Linked DNA regions of Canis lupus familiaris. The main gene of each other region encodes a partner of the protein of the gene in region 3 in a complex. Links are inferred from orthologs where the notes say so. Each region holds a gene or a part of one and is shown on either strand. Other genes may lie near its edges. The genes, in order: ZBP1, RIPK1 and CASP8.

Region 1 (10,130 bases), on a different chromosome or scaffold from region 3:
GCGCAGCCCTGGCTCACTGAACCCGCTCCCCGAGCTCCCTAGACTCCTGCACCCCATTCTGCACCTGGGGGCCATGCACCTGCTGCTCCCTCCTCCTGCAGGGCCGTCCCTGGGTCTCTGCTGAGCTGGCTCCCCCCCCTCAGGACTCGGCTCAGGTGCCACTTCCTCCTGGAAACTTCTCTCCTTGCCCCGCCACGGCAGCTCCTTGCCCACCCCTCCCTGGGTTTTATTGTGGTTTTTTGTTTGTTTTTACAGGGCCGGGCTCTCTTCGAAAGGCCTGATTGCTTTGTGAGCTGCCCCTCCTCCTTCCTGGACTATTTCTCCGACTTGCTCGTGGCTGTATGTCCAGGTGAGGGTGTGTTTCAGGGCAAGGACGGGGCCAGAACTGGCCAATGACTGGGGCGGGGGGTACGGCTAGGGGAGGGGTCCTGCTCCAGAAGACCCCAAGGAGGGCCAGCTTCACGGGCACGTGGCCTGAGCCCACAGTCAGAGGGACCCTGCGCTCAGTGCAAAGCTCTGTTCCGCTCTTGAAACTCCGATGAGGCGGAATCAGGAACCCCACTTTTCCGTGTTGCACTAGGCCCCCAGAGTCGTGTCCCCGGTGCCATCGGGGTGTCTCAGCAGTGAGCCGGGCAGGTGGGCAGCTGAGGGCCCCCAGCACCCCTGCGGGCCACCTGTCCAGGTGCCTCAGCTCACAGGGACCCCGAAGAGGGTGCCACACTGTATAGTGCTGACAGACCCTGACCCATCATTTCCCCCAAAAGGAAAACCTGCCGGGCCTTACAGGTCTCAGGATGGGGTCCTGCCCATCACCTGAGTAAGAAGTTAGGTGTTGCTCAGCCCAGCGAGGAGGGTGGGTAGGGGTGCGGAGTGAGAAAGGCCACGTCGGCGCCACCGCGTAGCCCCTGGGGGGGTGGGTACAGGGGAGGGGGCATCGACGATTTTTCAAAAGCAGAGGGCTGTGTTTCTTTCCCTTCAAGAGGAGTCTTGGCTGGTCCCACCTAAGACCAGGTGGTGGGGCCCATGACCCCGGGGTCCCCGCCTGCCTCCTGGGAGGTTTCTGGGAAGAGGGGAAAAGGGCGCCCTCTTTCTCCGGACTCTTGCTGTTGGGAGTTCAAGGTCATGGCCGTCAGGATGGGAGGACACTCGGCGTCCAGCACAAATGTCCACGGGCCTTCGGGCAGCGGCCGGTGGATGCCGGCTGGGTCCCCAGGCTAGGTTTTCTCACCACAGGGGGCCTGGCATGACTCCTTTGTGCAAATCCCAGAGAGTCAGGACCTGCATCCTCGGGCCGGTCCCGCCGTCACACGGAAGGCAGAAGTCCCTTCACACCCTGTCCTGGTCACGACCCCCGCCAGCCTTGGGATAGATGCCAAAGTCCCGCCCTGGCTGGAGCCGTGCTCTGGCCCCTGCCATCCTCAAAGCACGCATGGGTCACACTCGCACTCTGTCCACCCACCGTCCTGGTCTCCCCTGTCGCACACACTCGTCCACCCGCAGGATGCAGCCCCCACCTGCCACCACCACCTTGCTCCTGCCTGTGCAGCAGAGTTGGAGTCACCTGGCTCCACCACCAGAGGGCAGGAGCTGCGGCCCGGTGGCTAACTGCACCCCCAGTGTCCTCCTGTTGGCCATGGGGCCTCCTCCTGAGGGGGAGCTGGGCTCCAGTGACATTTCCCAGCTCCTCTTGAGGCCAAGTGCAGGTCCTTGGGCTGAGATGAGGAGCGTGGGTGTGCCTGGTGGAAGGGGGACGGTCGGCCCTCGTAGCCTCTCTGCCCATGGGTGAGTGCAGAGCCCTCGGGATGGCCCAGGACCAAGCTGGAAGAAACCGGGTCTGTGCCTCCCGCCAGCCCTGACGGTTGCCCCCCTTGCATGTGGGCTGCGCCTCCGGCAGGTGGGAGCCACTCTGGGTAGGGGTCTCTTTGCTGCAGCAAGTGAGTTTCTCCCTGAGACAGAGCCTCACTCACTGTGGCACCTCAGCACCTCCCATGAGGCCTCAAATAACACCAATGTTAATGACGCATCAGATGCCTGGAGGCACACGCAGGGCCAGGCACAGTGCCGAGGCTTTGCCTGCACAGCTCACCCAGTCCTCGTCACAACTAGGAGCTACGGGCAATTATCATCCTCATGCCCCAGATGGGGAAACAGAGGCTCAGAGCTAAATGCTGGACTAGGTCACTAGGCTAAAAACATTGGACCCCACACATTAGCTCCTGGGCTGCTCTCTGCTGTGATCCTCTACTGCTTTCCAGACTCCGGGAAATGGGAGATTCGAGAATGACTATTGATGGGTGGATGGATGGATGGGCGGGTGGATGGATGGGTGGGTGGGCGGGTGGGTGGGTGGATGGATGGATGGATGGATGGGCGGGTGGGTGAGTAGGTGAGTGGGTGGGTGGGTGGGTGGATGGATGGATGGATAGATGAATGGGTGAGTGGATGAGCTGGTGGGTAGACGGGTGGGTGGATGGGTGGATGAGAGAGAAAGGGAGGGAACACAGGGCCCACCTTGCCCCAGGCTCACCTGCATCCTTGCCTGGCTCCCCAGCGTCCTCAGGCCTTGCAACTCCTCCTGGACCATCTGTCCCTGAGCTGACAGTCATTCTGTTGCTGTTGCCGATGGCAGTGTCCTCAAGGATGCACGAACTGATGTGGACTCTCTGGGCCACATCCCCCTCGGAGGAAGGTCCTGGTTTGGGTGTTCGAATTTCGAACGAAGCCTCTGTGTCACCAGGGGTGGCAAAGGCTGTCGGGCAGCCAAAGACAGAGATGTCAGAGGGGCCGCACGGGCAGCTGGATGGTGGCCTCGAGCCTTGACCCCCAGCCTGGCTTCCAAGTTCTCCCCGGCCAACTCTCCTCCCTGAAGCCAGGCTAGACTCGGCCCACGGCCAAAACCCTGCCCCCCTCAGCATCTCTGCACATGGCCTGGGCTGCCGGCCCTCTCTGCCACCCAGGTCAGCCAGCCTGAGTGCCACCTCTTCACAGGCCCTTCCCCTGGGCTTCGGCCACCTCCCCACCACCTCCCCGCCACTGGCTGCTCCCTTCGTGCCGCTGGTTTGCCCGAAGCCCTGCAATACCATCTCCCTCTCTGGTTAAAACCTCAGCGCAGCCATAGCCGGTCCCCAGCCCCTGCCACCTGGCTCCTTTCCCATGCAAACTTCGGACGAGAATTGTGCAGTCTCCCCTCCTCCTACTCCTCTGTCCCCCCAGCTTGTCTCGGACCCCTCTTACTGGACCCCATGGAGCTCCCTGACCTCATCGGCTTCTCCTTTCTGGAAACTTTCCTCCTGGTGTCCCCGGCCTCCCTGGTCTCCCTGCTGTTTTCTGTCCCCAGCTTGTCTCTGGGTTCCCAGTGCTGAAGAGGACTTGGCCTGGGCTCTCTGGTCACTGTCGACAGCACTTGGTGGGTCACCAGGTACTTAGATGTATCCTCCTTAGATGCCATTCCAGTCTGGCCATCTCCTCTGACCCTGCTCTGGCTGGCCCCTGCCTGTCATACAGATGAGGACACAGGATCCCGAGAGATGACTCTACAGCCCCACCTGCTCTACAGCGTAACAGCCTCCAGGTGGAAGGAAAGGAATTTCCCATCGTGCCTCTCTCCCTGCCAAGGCCAGCTCAAGTTCTGCCCAGGGAGGAGATGAATGGGGTGGGGTGAGGGCAGGGTGGGGTACCTGAGGAGCTGCCAAAGGGGCTGCAGGCGGCAGGGCCCTTGGTTGGCGTGCTGTTGAGGTTCATCATGTTGTCATGTCCCATCTGTACCCGTCTGAGCATAGTCTTCTCCAAGTGGATGTCCTGGGGTCCCCAGGCTGCAGCTGGGGAACCCTGAGTGGAGGGATCAGCTGGCATCACGGGAGGGAGGGGAGCCATGGAGCCTGGCAGGGGACACGGCAACGTGACCTCTGAGCCCTCTGACTTCCCCTGGGAGACAGGCCTCTGAATTCCTTGTGGGCTCTAAGGGACTGGGGATGAGTGTTTCAGACTATTGATGGGGAAGCAGAACAGTGAGGGGGGTGTCTCCCGGGTTTTTACGACTGGTGCCTGGGATGTCCCTGGGGTGCCCAGAAACCCAGTCAGCGAGCACAGCCTCTGCTCCCTAGGGCCAATCTCCTTGGGCATGAGTCCTCAGCCGTGAGCATTCGGAGCCTTGACATCCTTTTCTCTTCTCGGTATTTATTTTTATGGTAAGCCTCCTGGTTTTAAACTTAAGACAATGCTAGTAACCTAAACTTTAAGATAAATCTGAGTAGAATACAAAGGTAAATCGTTTAATAATATTAAGTAAATAATCAGACATGGGCACGGCCCAAATTGGGGAATGTGGAACCCAGAGGACGAAGGATGGGGAACCATTGATCTAGATTCTAAAACAAAGCTCCTGGCTTCACTGCTGGGGAAACTGAACCCCAGAGTCAGGGGTGGGGGGTGGGGGGTGGGGGGTGGGAGTGAGGGGCAGGGCTCTCCTGAGGTCACAGGGGGTATTCTAGCTTTCGAGCTGGTGCTGTCACTTGTGCTCCAAGGCTGGCCCCTGTCCCCTCCCGCCCCAGTGCCTGGCAGGGAGTAAGCACCCCTTTGCGGGGCTGGATTTTGACAAAACTAGGATGTCACTGGTTATGCCCAGTTTCTAAGATGTTAAAATGTGGGGGAAGGGCATGTCTCAGAACAAACAAAATACTACAGTGACCCCTCGAGATGTTCTACTGAGGGAACCCTGAGTTGTTTCTCAAGGCAAAATATCAGGTCGCATTGGAAGCGAGGCAAAAGGTATCAGAGTGAAGGGAAAGCAGGAGAGGTTTGATCCAGGCATGAAGGAAGACGTCCTCATTCTCAGGAAGGATCTGAAAGCCGCCCTGTGTCCTCGGAGCTTGAGTGCCCCCCTCCCTGCTCCCACCCAGCTGGAGCACATACCCCTCCAGGGGGCAGGTGTCTGTCAAGGGACTCACCGTTCTCCCCAGAGGCCACCTGTCTCACCATGACGTTCCCTTGTCCAATCTGGATGTTTTCAGAATTGTCAATGGAAATGTGGTTATGTGGTCCGTTCTGACAGATCATGTTGATTGGATTTTTCTGGTAAATAATTGCGGTGGCCCGATTTCCTCCTCTCGAATCTGCAAAATCATATTCCACTCGAGCCCTCTAAATCTGCTGCAGAGCTTGTTAAGGCACAGGTGCTCGCCACGGGGGCGCGGAGTCAGGGGGTCCAAGGCGGGTCAACGAGGAGCCCAGATGAGCCCTGCTTAGAAGTCACCGCAGAGGTCACCTACTCGTGTGTCCTCTGCCACCCCAGGGGGATCCTGGGTGCCTTGCTGCTCACCTTCTGTCCCTGGTCAGAGGCCTCCCCTAACCACTGAGCCCCAGGACCCCTCTCCTTTAGCAGAGGGAGAGGCTGCAGGGTGGCCGTCCATGGGCTGTTTCTGGCCACCAGAGCAGCTTGGTTTGGGCTCATGTGGCATTTTTTAAGAATTTAGATTTTTTTTCCTCCAGTGTTTAAACCTGGCCACCGTCACAGGTTGCTATCACGCCCGCAATGCTGAGCCCCGCCTGGGCGCTGTGAGCTTGTGCGTCATCTCAAGGGCCGGGTGAGCACCTGCCTGGGGCTTTGCCGGCTCCACACACAGAGCCACATCCCACCTTTTGTGCTTTTGTGGGTCCCTTCCTCCATTAAAAAAAATATTCAAAATTACCTTTTATGACACTGTGGGGATAAAGACAAATGCAATCTAGGTGGGAGTCACGGTTAACTCTTCACTGTTATTATAATACTCATTTTTTCTTCTGATTTTAAGAGAAATTAGAACATTTTTGTAGACCTCTGATGCCAGGCCCCGTGCCTGCTGCGCCTGATGGACAAGTCACCTGGGACCCCACCCTGCGGGTGTCTGAGCCCAGCCTTCTCTTCCTGCAACTTCCAAACTCCAAGTTGGACAAAGTGCTAACAGTTTTGTGTCAGCTGAGCTCCGCATCCTATGAACACCTCTTATCCCAGCCCTTTGCCTTCTGCAACTACAGCCTTAGGCCACTCCTCCAGGAAGCCCTCCTTGGTTACTCCCACCAGCACACCCGCTCTCCTGGTACCCCCTTTTAGTGACCCATTAGCAAGACCGCTGCAAGCTACTGTGAGGGTCTGAAGAGGAAGGTGGAGCTGGCAAAATGCCTGGCAGGGCGCCCAGCAAGGACCAAGCGTTAGATGTTGCAGCTTCTCTTCGTAGCCCTGCCCCATCCAAGCATGGGCAGCAGGTCAGCACCTACCTACCTGGTTGATAAATTGCCCATGTACTTGTCTTCTCATCAAAGTCCAGCTTGTGCTGCTTCCTCATATCATACAAGTCGCGGTTGACGTCTTTCGCTATCTTCTTTCCCACCCCCTTGGCGATGTTCAGCGCCTTGCAGGGCCCATGGGCTTCCAGAAACCTGTAGATGGCTTCCTCTGGGAGGCAGGGTGGTGGATGAGGAGGGAGGGCCCTGGAGTTTGAATCTGCTCCTCTGCTGGCTAGCTGTGTAAGCTTGGGCAACCCCAGACCCCCTGTGCTCAGTTTCCCCATCTGAAGACTGTGGGATGTGAGACTAGCACCCCGCAGAGGTTGTTCTAAGGCACTAGGTTGTTCTAAGGATGTTCTAAGGTGAGCGTACGGCGCTCCCAACAGCACTGGGCACACGGCGGGTGCACGAGGGATGCCAACCACTGTCAGAGAGAGGATTTCTCAGCCACTTAGCTTCTCCCACTGTGCAGACTGAGTCTCGCCCCTGGACACCTTGTGGGGGCCTCCGGTGGGTGGGGCAAGAGTAACATCTCGAGTGGCCAAGGAGAGTTTGGGGAAAGCAGGGATGCTTACGCTGGTCAGTGAGCTGAAGGCCGGGCTCCTCTGGAACTGCAACTATGTCTTGCTGGCACCTCCCTGCTGGAGGAGGAAAGATGGGTCAGGGGCTATGGGGGGCGGCAGAGGGTACGGGGACTCTGCTGGTGACGGTGGGCCGCCCCATGGTGGCCCCCAGCGCGTGGGAGATCTGGACTCGGAGTCCACAGGTAGACGCACCTGCCTCCAAACCTGCCCCGCTGCTCCCCAGCTGTGCAGCTGAGCTGCGGACTCACGTCTCCGGGGGAAGAGGAAGAGGGCCACCTACCTACGTCCAGGTTGTGTGCGGGCACCGCCGGCCACCGGGAGCACCTGACAAGCGCCAGCTCTGCTGGTCTCTGTGCTACAGAACTATGAAGGAGGACCCAGTGCGAAGCCGAGTCTGTTCCGTTGTCACCACTAGGTTGCACTGGCCAACAGTGTTATTGCTAGTGCTTTGCTGAGCGCCTGCTGTGTGCAGGCGAGAGGCTGCGCCCTCCGCATCTCACCCTCTTGCAGCCCTGGGCTGCAGACCTACGAGGCACGGCCTGGGGATGCCACGCACCCTCAAGCGGCAGGGCTCATGTTCGAACCCGGGCCCGGACCTGCTTGTCCACTGCCAGGGCTGCTCGCCTGGGTGCCCCGCCCCTCCCCCGGGGAGCAGGTTACCCTGGTTGGCCTGGGCCGGCTCTGCGGGCACCACTCTTCCCATCCTGCCGGTGCCCAGGGCCCACGTCGCCGGGCCTTCCTGGGAGACTTTCGACTCCTTCATCAGCCGGTAGAGGACTTGGTTGAGTTTTTTCTTGGGCACCTGGCATTCCTTGACCAACTGGATGGACTTGATGGGGGAGCCGGCGTCCCTCAGCGCCTGCAGGATCCTCTGCTCGAGGTCTGGGAGGAGGAGAGAGTGGCGGAGAGGGGACTGATTCTCCCCTGGATCGAGCCTGGAGCGGGGACTCGGAGGCAGGGAGGTGTCCCCGCGTGAGGGGTCCAGGCCAGAGGGAGGGGCAGAGACCCGAGCAGACGCTAACAACACGGCTGTCCAGGGAGGGACACATATGCTGGTCAGAAATGACCTTGGTGACCAGAGGAGGTGCCCCAGCCTCCCGAGCATCCTCGGCCTGGTGTGAGCGCTTGAGGGTGAGGTGGGGATGCTCAGGCCTCAGATGTCCCAGAGCAGAAGGGAGCGGAGGGTGGCAGCGTGGGGTAGATTGAGTGCAGGAGAGCAAGGGGAGGGAGGGAGGGAGGGAGGGAGGGAGGAGGCCAAGTGGCTGCGAGGGAGGCCTGTGGTCCCCGCCTCCCTGCAGCACCTGCCCCTCCTCGGGGGCTCACCGTCCACGCCAGTGGTGCATCTATCCATCCAAGCCAGAAAGCTAAAGATGCTCAGAAACAGGCCCTCCTCCCTGCTGCCGGGTTATGGAGAGTCCTGAGAACATGGTGCCTGGCTCTCTGGGATCCCATCTTCTCCCCTCTGTGCCTCCCCCCGTACACCACCTCCGTGACCACAGCTATTCCCCCGACTGCAGTCGGGATCCCTCCAGCCCACCCTCCACTCGGCAGCCAGAGCCTCCCTCCGAGCACCAGCCAGCCGTGTGCTCCTTCCAGCCCACTCACTCCTGGGCCTTTGCACACACTGTTCCCTCCATCAGGAACACTCTCCCCCCCCACCTCCACCTGCCCAACACCTACTCAACCCTCAACCTCCACCTGCCCAACACCTCACTCAAACACCATCTCTCTTGGGGAGCCATCCTAGGTGCCCTGAGTGATCGGGGTGCCCTGTGTGTGAGGGGGGGCTGCAGAATGTCTCCAAGCTCCCCTGCTGTGATTGCCTGGTGCACTGTAGTATCTTTGGTGTCTAACTCAGTGCTGGGTACACAGTAGACGATCAGGAAACAGCATTTGAATGAATGAGTGTCTGAGTGGATCTGCTCACCACTGGGACAGGTGTCAGCCCAGACGACCCAGGGCAGGGCGTGGACAGCAACTAGGTCTCTAATTCTCCACCTGAGGTTAATGACCCTAAGCAGAATCCCAGGAGCTCTCTGAACGCCTCCGTTCCAATCAGACAGGATCCCACAAATCCAAGCCAGCAGCTCTTTGGGGAGCGGAGAACAGGGCACAGACAGTGCCTGAGGAGCTGGAGGGCCCCCCCCCCCCCCCCCCCCCGGCAGCCCGGCCTCTTACCAGGAAATGTCTGTCCCCAAGAGCCCAGAGGGAAATGCAAAGTGGGGCCCTTCTAGGGAAGACTTGGGGCACCTGGTGGGACAGCAGCCTGATCCTTTGCCTTCTGGGTTTTCCCTTAGTGGGGGAAGGGATAAGGCATTTATTTGCTGGTTCTGCAGCTGGGCTCTGAGGCTTGCCCTATGATCAGGACATGTTCATCCTTGCTGGGTGCAGGTGAAGTGCAGTTAGGACGCCTGGGGGCATCTACTCCTTCACCCCCAGCAGCCGGGGATCCCCATCCAATCAACTGCAAGCCTGGCTTGCCTCCTCTTGAAAAGAGTTCTGGTTCTTGAAAAGCCTGCCCACGGGTGAGCCTTCCCCTCCCTCCTCCTCCATTCCCCCCCCCCACCGACCCCAAAGGAGCAGAGGGGTCGTGCCTCAGAGACCAGAGTGAGGGCCAAGCCCATAGGGCTGGCTGGCCTCGCGCGCCGAGTCTTCAGGCTGATGCGTCTGTAAATGGGAAGTTGTAAACTGGACGACGTGTAAGTGACAGGTTGGAGAGGAAAACCTCAGAGGGAGAAGTTAAATTCAGGCACTGAGCAACAAGTACTTGCACCTCCCCCTTGGAGAAGCAGAAGAGAAACCGGGGAAACTGCCCAGGCCCTGGGCGCACCCCGATGGCACCCCTCCCCAGGCCACCCCTTGACTTATTTTCTGTCCTCTGACGGCACCTCTCCTGGGTTTGAGCCCCCGCCCTTGCCATCCACCGGCTATGTGACCTCTCCGTGCCACACTTTTTCCATCTGTGAAGTGGGGATCGGAGCAGCTATCTCAAAGATTATAGTGAGTAGTAAACCAGCTAGTGATAGCAAAACCAAAAATCCCCAAATCAGAGCCATCGTCAACCCACAGCCCACACATGTGGCCCACAGCCCACAGGCTCTCTAGAATACACAGCCCTGGCCCCATACACGGCTCACTTTTATGGGTTATTCGTCCGGGAGTGAAGCAAAGCAGCTTCTCTTATTTCTTAAAATGAGTGTGAGGACAGGTGTTCGGACCCCAGCATCAGCTGCGAGGCCCCGGGTCCCCCTCGCAGGGCCTGAGGAATCTCATGTATAAAATGGA
Region 2 (10,130 bases), on a different chromosome or scaffold from region 3:
GGTGGAGCCACAGTGTTTTCTGTGATGTTTGGCTGGAGAGTGGTTATTGACTAAAAGTCTTTTGTCTTGCTAGGCTACCCTTTGCTTAGTCCTTTGGCTAGAAAAAGCAGGCTTTTGTTAGGATTTTGTTGTTGTTGTTCGGTTGCCAGCTTCCTTAAGTGCAAGTCTGGGATCTAAGAGGCAAAAAGAAATACTAGTGAACTCATCGCCATGTCTCCTCAGATCCCAGAGTCCCTAGTTTGTCTGCCTTTGTCTTTCCTCCTTTCATGCTCTTTTTATGTTTGTTTTATGTGTGATTTTATAGGGGTTCTTGTGCTTAGAGGGAGAAATAAGGAAAGGTATGTCTACTCCATCTTCTTGAAAGTGGAAGTTGCCTTTTTCTTTTAAGGCTAGCAGCTTTGAACTCTTTATATCAAATCCCTATTCTGAGTGTTCTAGCCTATAATCATTTTGATACCAGAGAGACCAAAACAAGGAGTTGTCCATCCCTATTCAGTTGGAGATTAATTCATAATAAATTGGGCTTTGTGCTGCAGTTGGAGAAACATGCTATTAGGCAATATTTCTTGGTTTCCAGTGTTGCCTTGTCCCTTCGTCTGTCTACTTAGTTATTAGTCTTATTAGTCTCTTCATATAAGTCAGTGATTTGGCATTAAAATTTTTATTTTACTGCTTTGTCCACAGATTAAGGTAAGTAATTAAAAAATAATAGATTACTGGTTATTTAAATTTTAGTTTAGAAAATACCTAAGAAATTTAAAGTACTATTTTTTTTTACATAGGCATTGAAGAAAAATTTAGGCCTTTTTATGAAGATCAATTAGAAGAAAATGTAGAAGAAGATGTGACAAGTTTAAAAGTAGGTAACATAGCAGGTACTCAAAACATTAACATATCAAAGCATATGTATTACCAGTTTTGAAAACCAAAGCAATATAATTTGTTACTAAGATTTGAGGTAAGCTAGCTTGGTAACCACATGAAACAAAATTAGCAATTCTATACAGATAACCATCAAGTTGGCACACTGGACCCATTCCTCCATCAAAACTAATGAAATGAGAGAAATTATATATATAGCAATGTGGAAACAAAAGCACAACCTCACTGGAGTAGAACGGAAAGTACCATAGGAGGATCAGTCATTTTGAGGAATTCTTGGAAGCCAACAGAATTTTATTTCCTAAGACCTATAACAGAAAAAGAAAATGCTAACCCAAAACATAATGCTGAAGGAGTACTGGAGGAACAAGTCTATGTCCATTTGTAGAAGAAACAGCATAGTCAGCTGGGGCATTGGTGTAAGACTGTCACTTGGGAACCATGCTTGTGCCAGTTACAAAAGTTGGCTCCTCCCTCTGAGTCCCTTGTGCTGTGCAACACATGGGAGCAGCATCTTCCTCAACCTGAAACAGTGAATTTGGTCTGGGGACTAGAAGTATATCAAAGGTTATTACCAGCCAAGTAGCCAAGACAAACAAAGACCTTCCCTACACACACACTTAGGAAACAAGCTGCTGGCACAAGTACAGCAACATGCTGCTAGATTCATGAGGGGAAGAACTACAGTCAATAAAACAGGCAGGCATATGGAGATTTCAAAATGAAGATAAAAACCGGAGAGGCGAGAATTACCAGACTTCTGAGGGATACCTATACTATAAAAGGAAAGGTATCCAATGGAAACCATGCTTGGGCATCAAAAGAACGTCAGGAAAGAGAGTCACTAGGGATAAGTCACAATAATCAGAAATATATCATAACTATAAAAAGTTCAACTCACCAGGAAGATAATAACAGCTTTAAATATGTGCATGCCCTTAATAACATGGTCTCAATATCAAAACCAAACTTGATAAAACTCAAAGGAGCAAAAGACAAATTCAGAATCATAGTTGGAGATTTTAATATACAAATTTCTCTTTAACTGACAGAACAAATAGACAAAAAAAATCAGTAAGGATATAGGAAATTTGAAGAACATGATTAACATTTGACTGAATGGAAATATAGAAAACACTGCATTTAATAACTACAATAGGCTTTTCAAGCACATACAGACATACTTTAAAATTGACTGTGTCCTGGGAAATAAAACAGTTCTCAACCAATTTTAAAAGGATTATAATCATATTAAGAATTTTCTCTGATTACATTTCAGTTATGCTAGAAATTAATCTTAAAATTTAAAACTCTCATGTGGTTAGTAAAGAAATATATTTTTAAATAGCCTGTGGATTAAAAAGGAATCACAATGGAATTTAGAAAAATTTTGAACTGAAGACTAACAAAAGCACTACATATTAAAACAAAATGCAAATGTGACTAAGAAAAAAACTTAAAGGAAATACCAAAATGTTAATTTTGTCCTTGGAGTGAAGGCAGAATGTGTAGGTTTTAAATATAATTCTGTACATTTTCTATATTTTCAATAATGAGTGGTATCACTTTTATAGCAAAAAAGAGTTTCTTTTTCCTTTTTTTTTATTTTGGTAAAATACACATAACATAAAATTTACCATCTTACCTTTTCTTTTTTTTAAAAGATTTATTTATTTTAGAGAGAGAGCGTACATGCATATGTGCATGGGGGAAGGGGGGAAAGGGGGAGAGAGAGAGAGAGTCTTAAGCCGACTCCAGGCTGACTGCAGAGCCTGACACTGGGCTCCATCTCATGACCCAGAGATCACGACCTGAGCCAATACCAGGAGTCTTATGCTTAAGCAACTGCACCCCTCAGCTGCCCCACCATCTTACCCATCTTTCAGTGTAGAATTCAGTAGCATTAAGTACACTCACAGTGCTGTACAAACATCACTTAGTGTCCATTTCCATTTTTAAATATTCCAAACAGAAACTCTGTGCCCATTAAACAACTGTTCCCCATTCCTCTTCCCAGTTCCTGGTAACGTGTAATTCCACTTTCTATGAATTTGCCTCTTTAGGTACCTTGCAGACGTGGGGATCAAACAATATTCATTTTTTTGTGTCTGCCATATTTCACTCAGCATAATGTTTTATAGGTTCATCCATGTTAACATGTTTTAAGAGCTTCGTTCCTTTTTAAGGCTGAGTAATTCTCCATTTTCTGTGTATATCACAGTTTGATTATTAATTCAACTGTGATGGATACTGAGTTGTTTCCACCTTTTATCTGTGAACATTGATGTACAATTTTTTTTGAGCTCCTCCTTTCAATTCTTTTGGGTATATACACGAGTGTAATTGCTACATTGTATGATGATACTATGTTAAATTTTGAGGAACCATCAAATTGTTTTCCATAAGGGTCCTACCATTTTACATTTCTGGGTTCCAATTTCTCTACATTCTCACCAGCATTTTTCATTCTCAGGGTTTTGTTTGTTTTGTTTTTTAAATGATAGCCATCTAGAGTGTGAAGTCGTGTGAAGTAATGTATAACTCATGGTGGTTTTGAAGGATATTTTCCCAATGATGTTGAGCACTTTTTCATGTACCATTTGTATATTTTCTTTAGAGAAATGGCCCTTTGGCCATTTTTGAATTGAGTTGTTTGTGCCTTATCGTTGAATTATGCAAATTCTTTATATAATCTGGATAGTCATCTCTTATCAGAGATATGATTTGCCAGTATTTTTTTCCTATTCTCTGGGTTATCTTTTCACTCTCTTAATAGCGTCCTTTGATGCACAGAGGCTTTAATTTAGATGTACTCCAATTTATTTATTTTTATTTTGTTACCTGTGTTATTGGTGTCATGTCTAAGAAATTACTATCAAATTGAATGTCGTGAATCTTTCCCCCTATGTTTTCTTCTGATGTTTATATGGTTTGAGCACTTCAGCTTCAGTGTTTGGGTCCATGTGAGTTAATTTTTGTATATAATAAAAGTAAGGGTCCAACTTCATTCTTTTAGGTTTGTATCCAGTGTTCCCCCATTGCATGGTTTGGCACCCTTGTTGAAAATCAGTTCACCATATAAGGGTTTATTTCTGGATTCTCTACCTTTCATTGGTCTATGCCTGTCCTTAGAGCAATACCACACTGTTTTGATTACTGTAATCTTGTAGTGAGTTTTGAAATCAAGAAGTGTGAACCCTCCAAATTTATTCTTCTTTTTCAGGATTGTTTTGGCTATTTGGGGAAAAAAGATTTATTCCTTGTAAGAGCTATATGAAATCTCTACCTTTTGAAAAGATTTCATTTTTCTATAATAATTTTTTGGAACTATTTTCTACTGTTTACTAAAGTGTACATTTATGCTGTCAATTATAGAAAGAGTATCCAGACCCAGCCCAAAATTCAGTTGTGAAGAGAATGCAGTCTCTCCAGATTGACTGTGTAGCAACACCTCCAAGCAGGTCAAATTCAGGTAACATACTATGATTGAAAATAACGTATTCACTTGTTTGTTCGTGCATGCACTCTGTTCTCAAAAATACTCTTCATGAACATATAAGAAACAGAAGAAGCTATAAAATTTAACTCTTGCCTTAAAGGAATCTATAATATATTTAGAATGAAGATAACATATATTTGAAATAGTAAGTAACAGGGTGTTCACTAAAATCATAAAACATCCTGAACATAAGAGGCCTAACATATATCTGATAGGGAGAGTGTAAGGGCTCAGGATAAAGAGGGGACATATGTGGAAGCAAGGTCCTTGAGGTCAGGGATGATATCCAGAGAATTAGCAGAGAGGTTGGTCTTGGATTCAAGGAGGGATACTTTTTTCATTTTCACAAAAGGAAAAACAGAGTATAGGATATTGAAGCCACTTACTAGCTATCTGTTCTAGGGCAAATTAACCTCTTGTAAACCTCATCCCTCAAATCATAATATAATTGCTCCTATTCTTACAGGGCTTTTAGAGAATAAAAGAATCCATGGAGAGTGCTTAGCACCAAGCTGCTCCGGGTCTTATTTTCCAGCCCTGCACCACACCAAGGACACAGCCACCTTCTCTACTAAAGACCAGTCCCTTTCTCCCTTGGTCATTCCTGTGACACTCATGTTGCCATTGCCTGTTAACATTTCTCTAGTGCTCTCTCACCACCCTGCAGGGGCTTCCACAAATTACTTACATATTTGTAGGAAGAGGACCATCAAGTCAATGCTTTTTTTATTTGCTTGCAAAGGTTGCAGTATGTTATTCTGAGACACAGATGTGTGGCAGTGCCCAGGTTTTATTTTATTTCTTGTTGCTGTCTGAAACTCTTTCCAATGTTGATCATTTCTCCTCAGCCCCAGAACAGCCCAGTTCGCTGCACAGTTCCCAGGGACTGGGGATAGGTCCCGTGGAAGAGTCCTGGTTTGCTCCCTCCCTGGAGAACCAGCAGGATGAGAACCAGCTCAGCTTGCAGAGTAAACTCCAGGAGGAAGCCAACTACCATCTTTATGGCAGCCGCATGGACAGGCAGACGAAACCACTCAGACAGAGTGTGGCTTATAATAGAGAGGAGGAAAGGAGACGAAGGGTCTCCCATGACCCTTTTGCACAGCAGAGACCTTATGAAAACATTCAGAACCCAGGAGTAAAAGGCCTTCCTTATTCTATTGCAACCAGTCCTGGTAATGCAGTACACCAGCCAAAGGGGCTAACCAGCCAACCCCCAGTAAGGTACTGGAACAATGAATTGTACAGTCCATTCAATTTTAGAACAAGACCACTGGCTCTGGGAACAACAGGTTCAAGAGTCTGGTATCAGCCAAATCCAAGCCATATCCCAAGCGTGAATAAAACTCCAGTGCCGGAGACCAACCTACTGGGGAACACGCCCACCATTCCATTCAGCTCCTTCCCATCAAGAGGTAAACAGTTCTTTTTAGCTATAATCTTTTTTAAATGTTTCTGAAAATAAAGCAGCTATTAGCTCTGATGTAGACTCTAAGGTTACAAGGGTGAGTTGTTTATAGTCTTCAGCTGCCACATGCCGTTTGCAGCCATGGACTAGTCTCCATCAGAGCACTTGGCTTTGGTTTGAGTAGGATTCATTGCAGCTACCCACAGGTGTTGGGTTACAGGTCCTTGTAACCAGTGGGTATCTTCTGCTTTAATCTGCATCACAGTGGTCCCATTATACCCAATCGCTGATGGGTTTGTGTTCTTTTACTTGCTTGCTGTTTTCTGAAGGTAAGAAAGAAGTCTTGGATATTTTAATTCTTATCTTATATCGGCCAAAGACTGCATTGGTGAGGAAACCATAGTGTTGGGCTACCATCACCACCATTTATCTCTGGAACTCTTTTCATCTTCCCAAACTGACACTCTGTACTCATCAGACACTAACTCCCCATTCCCCTACCCCCAGCCCCTGGCAACCACCATTCTTTCTGTCTCTATGAATTTGACTGCTATAGGGTACTTGATATATGTGGAATCATACAGTCTTTGTCCTTTTGTGACTGGCTTATTTCACTGAACACAATGTCCTCAAGGTTTGCCAATATTGTAGCATGTGTCAGGATTTCCTTCCTTTTTTTTAAGGCTGAATAATATTCCATTGTCCGTACATAACACATTTTGTGTATCTGTTCATCTGTTGGTGGACCCTGAGTGACTTCCACCTTTTGGATGTTGTGGATAATGCTGCTGTAAACATGGCTATATAAATATCTGTTTGGGGCCTTGCTTTCAGTTCCTTTGAGTAAATACCCATAAATGGAATTGCTACATCTTAGAGTAAGTCTATTTTTAATTTTTGAGGGAAGTCTATTTTTAATTTTTGAGGGATCTCCATATCATTTATCACACCATTTTGTATTACCGCCAGCAGCACACCTTGGTTTCAGTTCATCCACATCCTTGCCAACACTGTTACTTTTTTTTTTTTTTTTTTTATAGTAGCCATTTTGGTGGATGTAAGGTTAGTTCAGCTACATTTTGAAGAGGAAAATTTCAAAGACTGTCATAGGATAAATAATTTAACTTCTATATCTAGAATAAAGCCCTGTCCTTTTACCATGTTGTATTTATTTCTCTTGCTTTCAACCTAGATTTACTTACCTGTGTGTTTCACTCTATTCAGATGAGTCTGTAAAATGTACCATATACAACAGTTCTGGCATTCAGGTTGGAGAGCATAATTATATGGAGGTTGGTGGAATGAGTTCAGCCCTGCTCGACATGAACGTGAAAGAAGAGCCAGCTTATAAGTACCAAGATATCTTTGGTAAGATGCCCTTTAAGGACACATTTTCTAGCAACCTTGAACTTTATTGCTTAGAGGGATATAGTGGAATCCTGAAATTTCTCTGATTTATTCTCCCTGACAGTTGACCCATGTTTTCTCTGTAAAATATCTCTGTAACTTCGATATAATCCGTTGTGATTTATTAATGCTTAATATGGGGATAATTACAATATCTAACTCATGGATTTGTTGTGAAAATTATCATCAATATGTATAAAGAGTGTAGAACACTGCCTGGCATGTAGTTAAGATCTGTGAAAGTACTGAACATATCATCAATATCACTATTCAGACCTAGGAGAGGTATCTCCCTCAGGTCTTCATCAAAAGTGATTCTGAAAAAATAGAAGACTATGCCCTCAACAGCACCCCTGTAATAAAAACAAGAGAGCTTTCTCTTATGGGCTTTTAACTGTGCAGGCTCAAAACATTAATCCCAAAACACAACCTGGGAATCATAGTCATGAGGCCAAATCAATGGGATTTAAGAGCCCAGCTTTATGTTTAACTCTAGGATTGGCAAAATGTTTCTATCAAGGGCCAGATAGAAATTATTTTAGGCTTCACTGGCCCTGAGATCTCTGTTGCAACTACCTGACATTGTAGTGCAATAGCAGCCACAGACAAGATGTACATGAATGGACATGGCTGTGTTCCAATAAAACTTCACTTAACAAAACGAGGCAGCAGGCCAGATTTGACCCACAGGCCATAGTTTGCCAATCCCTGGCCTAATCCATTTGAAAAATAGTCTTTAACATTCTTAGAGAGGAGGTTCCTAACTTTTGGGGTGACAAAAGTACCTTGGAGGATCTGATGAAACCCAGGGTCCCTCTCCCAGAGGAACTCACAAAACTAGGCTAATATCTTGGAAGGTTTTTGGACTGCTGATGTCCTTTGGTGATAACAGAAGCTGCATTGTGGGGAGCTAAGGAGAGGATGGGAGTTGAGGGGGGGGGCAGAAATGAGATGTCTTTTTCCTTATATTCAGCTTATTGAGGTAGGTTGAAGATCAAGGAAAATGTGTGTGGTGGTGATGGTAGTTTTATACTTTAGTTTACTTTTGTTATTTTTTTTAAAAAAGATTTTATTTGGGAATCCCTGGGTGGCTCAGCGGTTTAGCGCCTGCCTTCAGCCCAGGGTGTGATCCTGGAGTATCGGGATCGAGTCTCACGTCGGACTCCCTGCATGGGGCCTGCTTCTCCCTCTGCCTGTGTCTCTGCCTCTCTTTCTGTCTCTCTCATGAATAAATAAAATCTTTAGGAAAAAAAAAAAAGATTTTATTTGAGAGAGAGCACCTGAGCAGGGGGAGGGGCAGACATGCAGTCTCCCCGTCAAGACCAGAGCCAAAGGCAGATGCTTAGCAGAGCCACACAGGCGTCCCCTAGCCGTACTTTAAATACTTGGATGTCAAGGGCCATTTCTATCACTGCAGAAAGTTCTATCAGACAGTGCTATGTGAGATCTGACAGGAGGGGGATTTCAGTACTTCACAAATCAGAACACAACAGCAGCTCAGCTGAAAGGTGTCGCATTTATTACTGAACCAGCCTACTGGTATAGAGGCATAGGAACAGACAAGAACGTTTCCTTAATAAGACATGTCTATTGGCCAGGTAGGAAGGGTGTTTCCATATTGACAGGATAGGAACATGTGATCTCCATGCAGCTTAAATATGTGTGCCAATTATATTTGCTATTTCATGATGTGCGATGGATGCTTCCTCATAGACCCAGCTTGGTTCTTCTCCAGTGCCTCCTCTTGGAGTTGTACCTGATTTTATTACCAGTTTTCATCCGAATCCACTGGGGAATGGGACGATTCTGCTTTTGTTTCTTGGCCAGGAATCGCTTGATTCTGAAAGTCTTGTGAGAAGACATGGCGGTAACAGTCAACCACACGCAACCAGGATAGCGGCTCCTTTTGTTATTTTTATGAAGGCCAGAGAGGAAGGAACCAGTTAGAAAGGGAGGCTGTGGCTGTAAGAGAAGAGAAGACGGCACTTAGAGGAGAGTTGAGTCCCAAAATAGACCTGGAAAAGTAGATACCTCATTCTTTAAAAGACAAGGGAAGGCATTATAATTGCAGGAGTTCACACTTGATGGCCTCAGTTTCCCTAAGTAAGAGGAAAGTAGACCATTGGGTGCAGGGGATGAGGAGTTGAATGACCCTGATTCTGGCCAGGTATGTAGATGATGCCAAAAGGAACAAAAATAGTATTTTCCCTCTTTGTATCAGGAAGGTCTGAAATTAACCAGGGCCATTGGCTAAGGTCATAGAGGACAGCCTAGAAGCCAAGCAGAGCTTGTATTCCCAAAGCCACCAGCTGTGGCTCAGAGATGCATCTGCTAGGAGGTAGAGGTTCTCTGCTGTATTCATATACACACTGCACATGGGCTTCCAGACATGTAAAGGATCCCCTAAGGAATGAGTCCACAACTATGTAATGAAGTTTTTTTTGTTGTTGTTGTTGTTTTACCGTCTCCTGATACTGTCTCTACAGGTTTTTAAAACTAGAATGTTCAAATGAGTTATAGTTTGATGCCTTCTTATCTTTTCTGTTTGGCAGATAATGTCACTAGTCTGACTGATAAACATCTGGACCCAGTCAGGGAAAATCTGGGAAAGCAATGGAAAAACTGTGCCCGCAAACTGGGCTTCACTGAACCTCAGATTGATGAAATTGACCACGACTATGAGCGAGATGGACTCAAAGAAAAGGTTTACCAGATGCTCCAAAAGTGGCTGATGAGGGAAGGCAATAAAGGGGCCACGGTTGGAAAGCTGGCCTATGCGCTCTACCAGTGCTCAAGAATAGACCTTTTGAACTATTTGATACACATCAGCCAGAACTAACTCGAGAAGGGGCTTGGGCAGCATGGGGTATTCTCCTCGCGTAGTGAGTAAGTCACCCACTGAAAGCGCGCTGCCTCTGATCCTTCAGAATTCTT
Region 3 (10,230 bases):
TTCTTTTCTCATTTAATTTATGTTCTCATAAGTTTTCATTTAACTTGTAAGTTCTTAAAAGTTCTCTTATAAGTTGTTCCTCCTAAATAGGCTGAGCAAAAGAATATCTGGCAGTTTAATATTTGGAAATGCTATTTCTATTAAAGATTCGCAATTTCATCTATCCAACTTTGTAAATGCAACTTCTATATGTGGTCTTGGTCCCAAGGCAATGTTTTCTCCTAATACTTAATACATTCTACAGAAGCACTATTCATTAAGTTGAATTAAAAGCAAAGCTTATTATTGCTGCTTTTTATTATAAGCCTTTTAATAAGACTTGATATTTTGTCTTATATACATTACTTTGGTTTAAAAAGTAGTTAATAAAACAAAAGCAGAAAATATATAAAAATGTTCTTCATTTCCACAAGGAAATATGATTACATTCATTTTTTTTCTGAAACATGAGGCCCTGTTGGTACAATTTTTGTTCTCACCTTTTGATTAAAAAACTTATATATTAGAAATATTTCACTTCTTTTCAGGGTTCTACTGTACCTGCATCCAAGTCTGTTCCATTCCTATCCTTAATGCTCTGAAGTTTGGGCACTTCCCTCCGTGCTACACTAAAATCATAATTGTTGAAGATCAAACAATATCCTCGAGGTTTGCTTTTCATTCGGTAAACTTTGTCCGATGTCTGGAAAACAAAAATCCAGCCCAAGAGCTGACTCTGTGAGTCAAACACTTGGGATGTGAACAAATAACTCCCTAGTAAGAAGTGAGGCTGTCCTCTTAGCCAAACGGGGACACAAGTGCACTTTCCATGGCCCTACCCCAACTTGACATTATTTCTCTGGTGAATTAGTTTCCACCTGTTCCTTTGACACGGAATCCCCACATTTCTGCCCCACAGTTGTGTGTAAAATCAGTGTCCCAGTACTTGGGCCTCTTGAGCACTTTGCACATATATTAACACTGTTGTCATCATAACATATTTTCACCATTTGTTCTTGTTTCTGCTCAAGACAACTAACAGCTGTGCCAGGAACTAGACTGTATTAATTTGTGAGCATTCAATCAGGAAAATGCTGAGTGGATGAATGTCTTAATGCTGTCTCTGGGCTGCCTATTGTCACCTCATGCTTCCACTGGCCATCTAGTCAACTCATCTATGTTTCTAGGCTAACAGCCCAGGGCCTGCCCTTCACACATGACATCGTACGGTCTGAGGATTTTGAAAGCCAATGACTTAATTTGGCTCTCAGGACCACAGGGACTGAAAGAGAGAGATGTACTAGCCAGGCAGGTCTTGCCTAACTGCAGGTTACAGTATCCTGTGTCCTGACTTTCCCAGGGTTGTTTCAATGCTGAGATACTCAGCATTTACTGGGAAACCCATGCAACTCCTCGAGGTAGAGAAAAGGGCTCCACACTAAAGGCTCAAATTCCTGGTTCTACTACTTAATAATCTTAAGACTTTGTGCAATTACCTAATCTTTCTGGCACTCAGGACGGTTAGCTGTTCAGTGGGGACATGAACACTCAGTAGAGTGCTTTACTATTTGCAAAGTGCGACATGACTTTGGTCAATCCTCGATTTTCAGGGCTAGGTAGGTCTGGTGATTTGCTCAGGAGCCCACTCATAACTGGTCTCTCTCAGTTTAATTTCAAGTCTCCCCCTGGACAGGTAGCATTCAGGTTTTCCTCTGCTTCCTGCCACAGAGAGGAAGTAAAAAGGGCTAATGGATCAAAATGTGGTTGGTGAATCTTTGACGGTTAATAAACCCAAATGATTATGTCTAGAAAGGCGATTCTTTCCCCAGCTCATTGAGATGAGAACATAGAGACGGCTAGATCATGAGTATTTGTTGCTTACCCCTAAATCAGCACAGAGAAACAGTTTTGAAATGTCACCCTAAAAGAAAAGGCTTTGCTTTTCCCAGTCCCACTACACTTTTCTCCCAAAGCCTTCTCCCGCTTCAGCAGGGCAGATGCTGAAAGGGTTGCCAGGAGGCTTCTCGATTCCTCAGCCCTCCAACTATTCCAATGCCTTTGTCTTTGGATTTAAAATAAAATTTTAATGCTTGTTACTTTTAAAACTTAAGAAAATCACATGTTAAATTTGTCTGTTTGTGAAAATTTTCTATACTTCTCAAAATTTCCAGGAAGCATCTGCCTCTTACTAGTTTATCTGGAAACTTGAAAGCTAAGGAATACAAGAACTAGAATCTGCAATCCAAAGAGAAAAAGGAGTCTGAATTTCTACACACCTCTGATTCATAGTCCTGTTCTCCTAGAGAGTCCGACATTGGCAATATCTTCACGGATCCCTCCCTTATAGGCAACTGAGACATATCTGGAATGAGACATAGAAGGGAGGGTATTTTGGTAAAGAAACACATAGCACCAAGGATACCATAAGGTCCCCTTTAAAATGAAAATTCATGGACTACCTTGAACATAATATCCTTGCAGTCCACAGAATAAAAATTGTTTTACTAACTCTTCACCTATTTTAAACTTGTCAGCCTGGGGCTGAAGGCCTATGTCTTTTGACAATAGTTGTGTATCTTTCAACATGTAGAGAGTGACAAGTAGGCACCAAGCCGCCTACTTGGTAGTAGGTATCACGTCCATTAAGATGTGGACGTGATAGAAGGTTGTGGGGAGAGGAAGCAATGGGGGTATCTGATAATAAATTAACTGAATAAGTCTTAACATATTTCATATTACCATTTGAAATTTCATCTAGACTTCTTTGAAGGTTCATTGTTTGCTCTGAATTAAAAAAGAAACATTTGATTAGAAATAATTGTGACAGAGGGATCTGTCAATTTAAGAATACATTTTGCTAATTCACAGTAGTCAAGTTATTTCTACCTCTGTTTAATTCTTCGTAATCTGTGATTTTCTTCAGCAGGCTTTTGTTGATTTGGTCACAGATTCTTTTCAGGGTGTCCAAATTTCTTTCCCCTAGAATGACCCTCTTCTCCATCTCTATGAAAATATCAAGCAAGTTCTAGAAGGAAGAGAAGTAAAGTTGGAAGACTGGATTGAGACATACTGGTTTTTAGATTAGATTTTCTTTCTTTCTTTCTTTCTTTCTTTCTTTCTTTCTTTCTTTCTTTCTTTCTTTCTTCTTTCTTTCTTTCTTTTTCTTTCTTTCTTTCTTTCTCTCTCTTTCTTTCTTTCTTTCTTTCTTTCTTTCTTTCTTTCTTTCTTTCTTTCTCTCTCTCTCTCTCTCTCTTTCTTTCTTTCTTTCTTTCTTTCATTCATTCATTCATTCCACTTTCTCCAAACAGAGGGCCTACTCTAGTTTCCCAAACTAACCCTCCTGACAGGACATCCCAGTCTTATAAAGCCAGTAGAGCACTAGTGAAGCAATTCTGTGTTGTATGGCCCAAGAAGACAGAAATGAGAAGGTAGAGGAAAAGTGACATCAGGTGTCACCCAGGCCCCAAGCCCTGTGCTGAAATCAGCCATGGACACCATTAGGTGAAGTTGTGAAACAGCTTGAGGTGCATGGCTGAGACAAGGTAGCCTGGTCCCCATAGTGACAGCCCTGGGAGCTGCGTCTCTCCTGACACTGCCTCTGGTCCCTGATCCACCTCCAGTCCCACGTTCACACACACACACTCACACACACACACACGTACACACATGCATGCACACGCACATGCACATATACAGAGTTTCAGGTCCCAGGTGGTTTCAGAGACTGCAGAAGTGGGAAGATGTCTCCAGCTCACCACAGTCCTTCCCCACATTGGGCTATGCTTCCACCACCAGTCTTCTTTCCGAGCTACTGACTCTGCCCTGCTCCTGATAATTAATGTGAGCAGTACTTCACAGTATACAAAGGAATTGTATCTGCAACACTGGGGCCCAACAACATTTTCCTTTCCCCTAGTTAAAAAGTGAGAGTCCAGGTTGCTTTTACTGGACCAGCCCTCTCTCCAGTCGCAGCAGTCCCCACTGACTGGCCCAACCTCAGGACCAGATCTTGGTGAAACATCACCAGGGCTTACCAAATCATCATCCAATTTACATCTGGAGATCTCCCGGCTCAAGAGAAACTTAAAGGATTTCAATTCCAATTTGCTTACATCTTCTGAAATCTGAAAAAGCATGACCCTGTGGTGGGAAATGGAGACACTTTAGAAATGGCTTCTCAGATAATTTCCCATTTGACAAAAGGAGTTGCAGTGGAAACTTGATTCTGGTCACCACTCCTTAAAGACAGCTAATGACATACTTTATGAGTTGAATCTTTGGAAAGAGGCTGCTGCAGGGACATAACAGACTACTGACTCATGCCCCAATGCTCCACCCTTAACAGAATTTGCAGTTCCACTGACTATGCCACACAGTTAATTTCAGTGAGATGAATTTTGTTTTTCCTTGGTCCTCCACTATAAAGTCACTTATTGCAGTAGAAAAAAATGAAAGTTTTATTTTGGAAATTATGCTTTTCAACATGCAAACTGGATCATCACTTCCTTGATTAAAACTTGTTAGCGCTCTCCTAGCTGTCAACTTCCACAGGAAGGCTCAACACTCAGTTCCGGAATACAGACCTCTGTGCAGCGAGTCCAGCCTACCCCCTCAGCTTCTCTAGCGACTCCTCACCACCAGTCCCCCTCCACCCCCCAAACACACCCAGCTGTCCTGTCCCCACCTTTATCTATGCTTTCACATCCCCATTCCCTTGTCCATCCGCAGACACAGAGTCACCCACTAAGCTTGAGTCCCGCCCGAGTATGCTTGAGAATGCATTCACCCCACGGTGCCTTGTATCCCCAGAAAGTTTACATACATGTTGTAATTGTCTGCTTTGGAAGCCCTCTGAGCCCCTTGAGAGGAGGGTTCGTGCCCTTTTTGTTTCCATAAGCCCAGGGGGTCACGAGGTGAAGTATGTAAGTGCAGGGGGCCTAGACTACTGATTTCGGAACTCTGGTTCCATCATCTCAGAGCCGTGTGACTTTGGACGTGTTATGCGCTCTTTTCCCTCATCTGTAAACTTGTAGATAATACTATATACCACTGGGACATATTAAGAATAATACGAACAAGTTTATCTGACGTGTTGAAGCCAACTGGCAACACGCTAAGTGTTCAATACACAACAGGCATTATTATTTTTTCATCTATGATAAGTTCTTGAGATACATTTGTTGAAGGAGCAAAGGAAAGTTCAATAAGTTAGCAAACCTTCCACTATTATGTAAAGGAAAATAACAACACAAAAACATTCGTGAATGTCCTGGCCCATAGTCTCAGAGACCCAAGATTTGGCATGTTCCTTATCATATGTTTCTCTACTTAGAGCTTCTTGAGAATTTTGATTTTAAGTGGCAAAAGAGATGTCCTGGGTGTATGAGTTTCCTAAGGCTGCCGTAACAATGTCCCACAAACTGGGCAGCTTAACATGGTAGAGACATTTATATTCACAAATAGGCCACGCTAGGGTAGCCTGGGTGGCTCAGCAGTTTGGCGCTGCCTTCAGCCCAGGGCCTGATCCTGGAGACCCAGGATGGAGTCCCACATCGGGCTCCCTGCATGGAGCCTGCTTCTCCCTCTGCCTGTGTCTCTGCCTCTCTCTCTCTCTCTCTCTCTCTCTCTGTCTCTCATGAATAAATAAATAAAATCTTTTTTAAAAATAGGCCACAAAAGTAGAGGATAGTGGCTTTCACAGCCCTGGCTGTGAGGACTTACTGTCACACACATGCCATCATTATTGACAAGAAAGAAGAGACCGGTGAAATGGGCCACAGCTAAGGCTTGAGTAGAAGTTTTCAGAAGGGAAGCTAAAAATAACTTTAGGGAGTATCTGATAACAGGGCATGTTAAAAGACAGAAGTTGGTAGTGTGTTTCTGTTTTTAAAGTCTATTACCTATATATATGATCACTCACCCCATGCAGCCCCTTCTGCCCATATTTTAATAAAATCACCTTTTTGCACACACACACACACACACACACACAAAGAAATCTGTTACCAATTCATAAAAACGTAACAGAACATGGCTTGTTATCACCCCTGGGTACCCGCTATCCCACAGGCAGGGAGAGACCCAGCTGCAAGGTGTTGGGCAGGACAGATGACTGAAGTTACCACCATTCTCCTGGCAGCAGCTGGGCCCCCAGGGACTCGGCAGTCCTTGTGGGGTACAGCCTGGCTGGTCCAGGATACTGGCCGCACATCCCTCTCTCTGGAGGACACTGTGATGCAAGTTTTTCAGTGTGAAATAAAAACCTAAAACCCCACTGAGCGTTTCCATAGTCATCCACAAGCAGGTGGAGGGGGATTTCAGGTAAGCAGGGGCGATGCTTCATCCAGAAATAAGCAAAGTAAGCGCGCGATGTAGACATCAACCGAGCAGAGGCAACAGAAGGGTAGACAGAGAGAACATCCAGCAGACGACTGTTCTAATTTTAGCACACCTACAGGTAACGTTGCACTTTGGAAACACTTTTTTTTTTTTTTTAATTTTCTGCCTTCACTTTTTTACTGAATTATATACAAGTTCTCTAAATTTCTCTATCTGGCCCTGGTGGGACATCTTCAAGGAACTTCCAAAGTCATACCACACAGACAGCCGCAAGCAGCCCTGCCCACAGACACGCATCCACTGCACCCACGCCTCCCAGTGCCTGAACCGTGGAGATCCTCCCCACCTGTAGGCAGAGATCTGGGCTCTGCCTGGTATCTGAAGCTCCTGCTGCATGTCTTCCTTGCTGGTGTCCAGGTAGGTCATCAGCAGATCCAGTCTATTAATTCGGAAAAGCAGCTCCTTCAAAAAGAACAGGTTGCTTTCCTCCAACATTCTCTTTTCCTGGAGTCTCTGGAATAACATCAAGGGATCCTTGATGGGCTCCTGCTTCTTCTGTGGGATGTAGTCCAAGCTCAGGAATTTGAGGGAGGCCAGTTCGTCACTGTCCAGCTGTTCCCCAATATTGTAGAGGCATTTGCTGAAATCCATGTTGGTCAAGTGTCAGGACGAGGTAGTTGTTAACCTAGGTCAAAACACAATATTATGTTCAGATGAGGAAGAGAAGTACCATTTACTGGTCTATTCCTTCATCAAGTGCTGTTATCTCTACTACACACCAGATGTCTTACTGAGGACACAGGGAAGAAACAAAACAAAAAACTAAACAAATAGGACAGGTTTCTGCTCTTGAGTAGCTCACTATTTTGGAAGGTAGATATACAAATTAGCCAATGGTTCGAGAGTTAACCAGGGCACAGTAGGAATATAGCCAGGGGAAAGGGCCTCCTGGATGGCAGGCACCTGTGGGAAGGAGGTGGGAAAAAATGTATGTGGAAGATGGAGGCGAGAATGTTCAAGTCAACTCAGGCAGGCACAATTTGCCCAACAAAGTAACCATGAGTGTCTGGGAGGGGAAGTGGTGGCAATAGGGATGAAGCTGTGGCCAGGAACCATTACAAAGGGCCTCATGCTGTAGGGCAAAGGCTCAGGCTTTACCCTAGAGGTGATGGGGAACTCAGAAAGGACCGTAATGTCATCCAGTTTGGGATTAACATGAAAAGTGTGGAGGACAGGGGCGCCTGGTGGCTCAGTGGGTTAAGCATCTGCCTTCCACTCAGGTCATGATCCTGGGGTCCTGGTCTGTCTCCCTGCTCAGCAGGAAGCCTGCTTCTCCAGTTCCTTCTGCCTCTCCCCCCACTCATGCTCTCTCTTGTGTGACCTGGCTCTCTCAAATAAATACATAAACCCCTTTAAAAAAAAAAGTGGATGCCTGGGTGACTCAGTCAGTTGAGCATCTGCCTGTCGCTCAGGTCATGACCTCAGGGTCTGGGGTAGAGCCCCCCATCAGGCTTCCTGCCCAGCATGGAGCCTGTTTCTCCCTCTCCCTCAGCTCCTCCCCACCGCACACGTGCTCACTCGCTCTCCCTCTCCCTGCTCTCTCTCTCTCAAATAAGTAAAATATTTTTTAAAAAATTTAAATTAAAATTTAAAAATATGTGTGGAGGATAGGCCAAAAGGACTAGAGGCCAGAGAAAGAATGGGATCTGACTGAAACAATGGTGCTGGGAAGACACGCCGCAGTGCTATACCCCAAAGGCCTCAGGATCACCTGACTCTAGAGGCAGTTCCCTGCACTGGCTAACATTTTTTGGATGAAAACACAAGTCCTGATTCTATTACTTGAGGTAATGATCAAGTGAACCAGGACTTATGTATTTTCTATATCCAATGTTAAAATAGAAATATTTGAGGGGCACCCGGTTGGCTCAGTCAGTTAAGAGTTTGACTCTTGATTTCAGCTGAGGTGATGATCTCAGGGTCACAAGACTGAGCCCTGCGTCAAACTCCGTGCTGGAAGTGGAGCCTGCTTAAGATTCTCTCTCCCTCTCCCTCTGTCCCTCCCCACCCCGACCCTCCCCTGCACACATGGCTCTATCTCTCTAAACAAACAAATAAGTAAGTAAATAAATAAATAAATAAATAGAAATATTTTTGATTTGCACATAAAGGTTAAATTTTAATATTTTCAAAAAGTACCCTGAAAGACTTTAAAATTTGTAGTTTTCCCTTTTAAAACACCTTCCTGGGCACCTGGGTGACTCAGTGGTTGAGCATCTGCCTGTGGCTCAGGACAAGATCTGGGGGTCCTGGGATGGAGTCCTGCATTGAGCTCCCCACAGAGAGCTTGCTTTTCCCTCTGCCTTTATTTCTGCCTCTGTGTCTCTCATGAATAAATAAATAAAACCTTTTAAAAAGACAAACAAAAAAACACCTTCCCTCTCCCTTGCCCACTCTGATTATAGAAGCAGTGTTTTTTTGTGTGTATGAAAATTGAAAATACAGTAAATCATAACATGGTCTCAGTTATCATTATCATACACCACACACACATGCATGTGCATGCAAAGATGCATTCATATAAAAATTAGAATCAGGCTGCATATCCAGCTGTGTACACCTATTTTTCCCCACTTAATATTTAGAACAAACATTTACCCCTACCATTAAATATTCTTTGGGACATTTTTAATATTTCTTGATCTCCAGCATGCAAATATAGCAAAATTTATTTTAAGGGATTTTTAATTCCTTTACTCTTAAAAATAATATAATATTGAGAAGCTTTTTCACATATCCTTTGCATATCTCTGATTATTTCCCTCTTAGAAGCCAAATTATGGAACAAAACCTTTTTTTCCCCTTTTAATCTAGAGCATACATCATTGTTTAGACACGTTTTCTTGCTTTAGGAAACTAGAAGGAAATATCTTGAAAGATACACTTTGTATGGGGTTCTCAAAGGCTGTAGAGCCTACATCTTTCACAAAAGCAACCAATTATCATGAAAATACTTTTATTTAGAAAAGGCATCTTAAATATGTGGCTATCACCTAACGGCATATGTTCAAAATGTAGCAAGCAAAACCTACTGGACATCAAAGGGGGCAAACTAGCAGGTTCATTCCTTAAATCACATTTCATAGAAACACACATGTACTAAACAGACTATGCGCATGGACTGTCACCACACAATGTGCAACCCTGAACAACTGGAAACATCCCAAATGTCCGTCAATATAGAAATGGCTGATTAAACTAAGGTATAGTCGGGATCCCTGGGTGGCGCAGCGGTTTAGCGCCTGTCTTTGGCCCAGGGCGCGATCCTGGAGACCCGGGATCGAATCCCACATCGGGCTCCCGGTGCATGGAGCCTGCTCCTCCCTCTGCCTGTGTCTCTGCCTCTCTCTCTCTCCCTGTGTGACTATCGTAAAAAAAAAAAAAAAAAAAAAAAAAATTATTAAAAATAAATAAACTAAGGTATAGTCGTACTACAGAATATTGTGCAGCAGTTAAGAAAATCCACTCCATCTTCTGAAATAAAAATGATAGCTATCCAAGATGTGTTATTATGACAGTAAAAAAAAAAAAGTAGAAAAAGTCATTACAATATTTTTTTTTAAGATTTATTTATTTATGAGAGAGAGAGAGAGAGGAGGAGGAGGGAGAAGCAGGCTCCATGCAGGAGCCCACATGGGACTCGATCCCGGGACTCCAGGATCGCACCCTGGGCCAAAGGCAGGCGCTAAACCACTGAGCCACCCAGGGACCCCCACATTACAATATTTTTTTAAAATATGTTTATTTTTAAAAATTACTCAAAGCAATACGAGATTTTCAGTGGTTGCAGATACATATGCAAAAGCAGAAAATAAAAAGGTAACAAGGTTCTGGGAAGAGACATACCAAATT

The links.
Region 1: CASP8 (region 3) and ZBP1 share a complex: the UniProt entries of both Homo sapiens proteins name them as parts of the AIM2 PANoptosome complex. The link is inferred for Canis lupus familiaris from reciprocal best matches to the Homo sapiens genes CASP8 and ZBP1.
Region 2: CASP8 (region 3) and RIPK1 share a complex: the UniProt entries of both Homo sapiens proteins name them as parts of the AIM2 PANoptosome complex. The link is inferred for Canis lupus familiaris from reciprocal best matches to the Homo sapiens genes CASP8 and RIPK1.

What each region holds. Positions count from the first base shown.
Region 1 is NC_049245.1:43,326,837-43,336,966, forward strand, and holds part of ZBP1 (Z-DNA-binding protein 1), read right to left. Parts: intron 7,728-10,130; coding exon 7,506-7,727; intron 6,903-7,505; coding exon 6,837-6,902; intron 6,431-6,836; coding exon 6,257-6,430; exon of another isoform or gene 5,790-6,256; intron 5,112-5,789; coding exon 4,947-5,111; intron 4,188-4,946; exon of another isoform or gene 3,879-4,187; coding exon 3,678-3,878; exon of another isoform or gene 2,750-3,677; coding exon 2,528-2,749; exon of another isoform or gene 2,422-2,527; intron 1-2,421.
Region 2 is NC_049256.1:4,682,230-4,692,359, forward strand, and holds part of RIPK1 (receptor-interacting serine/threonine-protein kinase 1), read left to right. Parts: intron 1-782; coding exon 783-859; intron 860-4,257; coding exon 4,258-4,354; intron 4,355-5,229; coding exon 5,230-5,796; intron 5,797-7,013; coding exon 7,014-7,157; intron 7,158-8,693; exon of another isoform or gene 8,694-8,903; coding exon of another isoform or gene 8,904-9,158; intron 9,159-9,748; coding exon 9,749-10,035; 3' UTR 10,036-10,130. Other genes in the region: uncharacterized protein LOC100687285, read right to left, coding at 8,904-9,158. UniProt on the Homo sapiens protein: Serine-threonine kinase which is a key regulator of TNF-mediated apoptosis, necroptosis and inflammatory pathways.
Region 3 is NC_049258.1:10,245,521-10,255,750, reverse strand, and holds the start of CASP8 (caspase-8), read right to left. Parts: upstream 6,978-10,230; 5' UTR 6,970-6,977; coding exon 6,665-6,969; intron 4,120-6,664; coding exon 4,014-4,119; intron 3,005-4,013; coding exon 2,866-3,004; intron 2,764-2,865; coding exon 2,719-2,763; intron 2,342-2,718; coding exon 2,256-2,341; intron 683-2,255; coding exon 541-682; intron 1-540. UniProt on the Homo sapiens protein: Thiol protease that plays a key role in programmed cell death by acting as a molecular switch for apoptosis, necroptosis and pyroptosis, and is required to prevent tissue damage during embryonic development and adulthood.